2 linked regions of the Xenopus tropicalis genome follow. The protein of the gene in region 1 interacts with the protein of each later gene in a pairwise test. Links are inferred from orthologs where the notes say so. Each region holds a gene or a part of one and is shown in the gene's direction. Other genes may lie near its edges.

The links.
Region 2: the proteins of topbp1 (region 1) and cip2a interact in a two-hybrid assay, tested with the Homo sapiens proteins (2 studies listed by BioGRID). The link is inferred for Xenopus tropicalis from reciprocal best matches to the Homo sapiens genes TOPBP1 and CIP2A.

The regions. Positions count from the first base shown.
Region 1 is NC_030682.2:52,620,615-52,623,393, forward strand, and holds the end of topbp1 (DNA topoisomerase 2-binding protein 1), read left to right. Parts: intron 1-205; coding exon 206-367; intron 368-1,264; coding exon 1,265-1,399; 3' UTR 1,400-2,261; downstream 2,262-2,779. UniProt on the Homo sapiens protein: Scaffold protein that acts as a key protein-protein adapter in DNA replication and DNA repair. Composed of multiple BRCT domains, which specifically recognize and bind phosphorylated proteins, bringing proteins together into functional combinations.
Region 2 is NC_030678.2:103,666,359-103,669,004, reverse strand, and holds part of cip2a (protein CIP2A), read left to right. Parts: intron 1-203; coding exon 204-317; intron 318-1,572; coding exon 1,573-1,655; intron 1,656-2,452; coding exon 2,453-2,592; intron 2,593-2,646.

The DNA.
Region 1 (2,779 bases):
ACAAAAAGATTGTTATAAGGTACCCTAAAACAAACACAGACTCTTTACACCTTAAGCTAGAGATAATTAAGGACTGGGAAAAAGAAAATCAAGAGTCAGAGACCTTATGAAATGTGCCTGTGTGTGAGAAGCAGTCCATGTGTTCTTGCATCCTGATGTGATTAGGGATGTATCAAATATATCATTTTTGTATGTATATTTATAGGTATTTGCTGGCCATTCTTCTGCTCTGTTTAAAGAAGCCAACCACCTCTTTGCTGACTTCAGCAAACTGAAACCTGATGAGCCCAAGGTGAATGTGGCCGAGGCTGCAGCACAAGGAGTAAACTGCCTAAAGCCAGAGTATATTGCCGACTACCTCATGAAGGTTTGTTTAGTGTATAAATTGCAGTCGCAGCTGAATCACATTTTTACTAAACAATGAAAAACATTAGAACTGATATCGGTATTCTTGTGCAACATTCTGAGATTTCTTTTTAATTTATTTTACTAACTTTATTAACCTTAATTCTACCTTCTGCCGCTAAATTTTATGTAATTGAAGTCAATTTTGATTGTATTTTTCAACATTGTTTCTTTACCGGTTATCCCTCTTCTGATTCCTTATCGTTTATTAAAGGGCACATGTTACCTACAATAGGCTACTGCAACCATTAAGCATTATAAAGCCTTCTCTCTGAGCGGGAGTACCTTGCTGACATTGCCAGTGGTCCAAACAAACAAGCATTACTTGAAGGCACTGCCAACCACATAATTCCCCTGTAACCCACTATACCTGGGTGTGTGCATGCTGTCTTGGTCTGCACATCCATATATTTCCAGTATATCACAGTCTGCTGGTAACTTTAGAAACATGCATATAGAAGTAGCCCTATATAAATAAAATTATACTTACATAAATACATATCCATATATTTATGCTGCTCACAGTGGGATATTGCAACTGGGAGCAGTTCCAGTGAAGGCCTCGTTGTTTTGGCTTCTGGCTGATGCTCTGATTCATGTTGTTTTAGCCTAAGAAAAAGTCCACCACAGTCTATATTCTCTTGTATGTGTTGCATTTTGCCTCACCAACTATAAGCAAGCAAAATATCGAGTAATTATTCCCACACAGATCTGTGCTGGAATGTCCTCCTTTCTTTTAGTTATATCATTTGTTATGCTATAAGGGTCAGATGCAATAAAGATAATACATGAAATCAAATACTCCTTTTGTTAATAATTGATGTGAGTAGAAGTAACAGACCAATATTTCTGGTTATAGGAGCCTCCTCCACCAGTCAACAATTACTGCCTCCCTGATGCTCTGCCATATCTTCAGATCACAGTGACTGGGCTTTCTCGCAAAAGGAAAAACTCTGGAGACATCTCTGATGTTAAGAGATCACGGCTTTACTGAGAGAGTGAGAAGTAAGAGCTAAAGGCAGCAGCTTAGCAATACCAGCTATGTTGCACTGTTCTTTTGTAACAAAATGGTATATTCTTTGTCATGTCTGTTTATTTATATGGGAATAGATTTTATATTTCAGATAATTTGTAGAAATGTATACAAATAACATGCAATGTGGTTTTTTTATACAATGTGGCATATGTTGCATGCCATCCATATTCATTGTGTACTGTTGCGGCCCATTTATTTGTACACCTGTATAAAAAGCAACTCTTTCTACTTATATTGATATTGTAGTTCCCTTATTACTCCTGACCAAGTTGCAGGGGACCAGCAATATTAAATTACATGCACATTTGTATGTATATTACTGTTTGTATATGTTCAACACAATAAATTTAAACACAAAAACTACCTCATCCATCTTGAATATGATGTAGGAAAATGAAATCATACTTTTACATACCCGAAATATCAGTAACATCTGTTAAAGAATATGTAAATCTTAAAATATGTCATGAAAAATTGTTTGGTGCTTTCCTAAGAACTTTTGCAATATTTGTTATTTTTGCAGATTCAGAGCTGCTAATATATGAATTTTTTAACAACAGCGCCACTTGTTGGTCAGTTCCTGTAACTGTACAGTCAGTGAGAAATTCAAAAGAAAAACCGAAAAGTGTTCTGATGTTGCTCTGCTCTAGAAGGGGAATGGGTATATTTATTAACATTGGGGAGAAACCTTACTGACTTGATGTTGCCCATTATTTTATATCTATGTACCATCTGGTTTCTCTCTGATCCATTTGAGCAGTTTGGAGGGTACACAATGGTTTGGTTATAATCTAACCTCAGTAAATATGAATATAATCGATTTCAAGTGTTGTGAATTATATGTTGTGATATGTCAGGAATTATATTGTTCAGAAGGGGCACTCAAATTGTTATCTAATAACCCAAGAGCAGAAGAGCTTTTTATGTTTCAACACATATAGGCTATTCTGAGACCTCTGCAATTTCTGAATCATATTGGTTGGTGTCATTCACTTAGGGGAAAGAGATTCCACCTCAGATGTATTCACTGCCTATCAGTATTATCCCTTTAGCCAATAGTTTTGCCCAACTCCTGCTCTGTACATTTAGTACAGGTATGGGATCCGTTATCCAGAAACCCATTATCCAGAAAGTTCTAAATTACGGCAAGGCCATCTCCCTTAGGCTCCATTTTAAACAAATGATTCTAATTTTAGGAAATAATTTTCCTTTTCTCTGTAATAATAAAACAGTACCTGTACTTGATCCCAGCTAAAATATAATTAATCCTTATTGGATGGAAAACAATCCTATTGGGTTTATTTAATGTTTAAATGATTTTTAGTAAACTTAAAGCAT
Region 2 (2,646 bases), on another chromosome or scaffold:
ACATAAGTTTACATTACAAGTCTCACCCTAACTGGTTATAGGCTTCATGTGTATTATGGAGAACAAATTTGCACTCTACCCAAATATTACCCTAATTGGTGGTCCATCTCACTCTGGTAGGCTCTAACACATTATCAATTTTTTTTTTTTTTTGTTATAAAGTACATAAAAAAATCTAGGACAGTTCTGTTTTTGCCTTGTAGATATGAGTTGTGTGAGAAACAATACAAAGAATTACAAGCATCATATAATCTGTTAACTAAACAAGCTGAAACAATGAAAAAGCTGAATGATTCACTAAAAACACAGAATGAACAGTAAGTAATTTGTATTTTTTTTTCTTCACTCACTGTGGGTCCCAGAATAATTTCCATGATCTGTGAAACAGCACAGCAGGAGTCTGAAATTTGAAAGGTCCAAAAACACTTTTTTCAAAACATAATTATTAAAGGAGAAGGAAAGTCATTTTGGCATTTTACTGCCTAGAGCAATATATTTATTCTGCAGAAACCATTACCATACTTGGGTAACTGTTTTAGAAGCTTTCTCCTTTGCTTAAGATATCAGTTGCCATTTTAAGTAGCTTTCTTCCTGCAGTCTAGATGTTATAGCTCAGATCACACATTCCTAAGGGACAAGAGAAGAAATCCTGTGTTTCTTTTGATAGAGTGCAGCATTACTGTATGTATGTATAACTTTATTTATAAAGCGCCACAAGGGTACGCAGCGCTGTACAATCTTACAAAATTACAAATAGGGAGGACGAGTGTTATAATAAATAAATACAATAAATATATATAAATGCACAGGGAATAAGTGCCATGTGGTATGAGACACAGTAGGAAGGAGGTCCCTGCCCCATAGAGCTTACAATCTAAGCGGTTGGGTAACATACAGGCACAAATTGGAAGGTAAGAGTGCACCAGGTATGGGCACTTGCCCTTAAGCGCAGGACTGGGCAAAATAGTGTTTTAGTGCTCCAGATTGTAACAGCTGAGCTTTTTCTTAGAGAGTGGGTGAGTTTTCCCTACGGAGGGATTCAGGGATAGAGTTCCAGAGGTAAGGAGCAGCGAGATAGAAAGGTTTAAGACGAGAGAGCGCAGTGGGTGTGGATGGTGTAAAAAGACGGAGGCTCTGAGAGGAGCGGAGGAGACGACCAGGAACATGCAGGGAGACCAGTGAGGAAATGTAGTGAGGAGCAGAGGAGTGAAGGGCTTTGAATGTTAGCAGAAGGATTTTGTAAGCTATCCTTTGCTTAAGTGGGGCTGAACAGGTTCCCTCTTTGGAGAGAGCAGGAGGATCCTGGCAGCAGAGTTTAAGATTGATTGCAGGGGAGAGAGGTGGGAGTCTGGGAGGCTGTAAGTGCTTATGGCTGTATTTACATAGACCTTTCTGATAAAACTTACTTAGTTTTTACCTTTGCTTCTCCTTTAAATCTCCTGCAGTCTGGAAACATACACGTATGACAGCTTTTGTTAAATGAATGTATTTTACTTAAAATGGTCTCTGCATTAAAGTGTACAAAACTTTGCTAATGTGTATCTAACTAAGCAGCAACTGTTGATATTTCAGGACTATCTCACAACTTAATGAACTAGAAAACCAACATAAAGATTTAAATAAGCAACTGCAGGACAGAGATAGTAAAATAAAAAGTAAGTGATTTTCTGTTTGATAAAATATTGCAAATTCTGTTGTATTTGCTGGACAATCCTTTTTAAAGGACAATGAAAGGTTCATATAAATTAAAAGTCTAAAGGCATTCTTTTTAAGTACTTACTGCATATCTTAATTCCCAGATCCCTGCTTGCTTCTCTGAGATATGGTGCTGGCAGCCTACAGCAGTGTGAAGACTACAGTGACATCACTGAAATCTCTCTCCCCTTCCTGTAGGCTGCCAGCGGCAGCCTTCCTATTCTCTGAGCATGTGTGTAACTTGATCCTGTCTGCTGTTCTGAGCTACACATGCCCATCAGCCAATCAGAAGCGGATCTGGCAGAGGGGAGGGGGGGGGAATGAAACACATGTGCAGTATGAAGCAAGCAGGGAAAGGAAGGGAGAATACCTTTTTAGAGATGGCTGCCTGTTCTAGAAAATGTGAAGTAAGTGTGACTGAGTAAATATTTGATTAGGTGAGCCAAAAGTGTGGCGTTTTTACTAAACAATAGGAGGACTATTGGGCAGTATGCATTTTAAATTTTGACTTGCATTCTCATTTAAAGAATGCAGGCACAGGCTATGCAACCACTTGCGTATATATAATGATTTTGGAAAGAAAAGGGGAATGCAGTATATACAATAAGAGTTAAAGGCTATTTCACGAACACCCAGTTTCAGGTCAGGGAGTATTAAACTCAGCTTTATTAGAGACCATGCTTAACTATATATTCTGCTGACATAGATCTTCATTGTCTTTCTGACTATTTTTGTGCAATGAAAACTGTTTTCTTAGATTTGCAGCAAAAACTAAAATCATTAGAGGAAAAGATGAAAACAAAACAAAAGGAGAAAGAAGAAATGGAAGAAACTATAGATGTTCTTCGCAAAGAATTAAGTAAAACTGAACAAGCACGGAAGGAATTAAGCATTAAGGTAGGATTTTGAACAATTAAATGGATGTTTCCCAATATTATGAATGGTACAGTT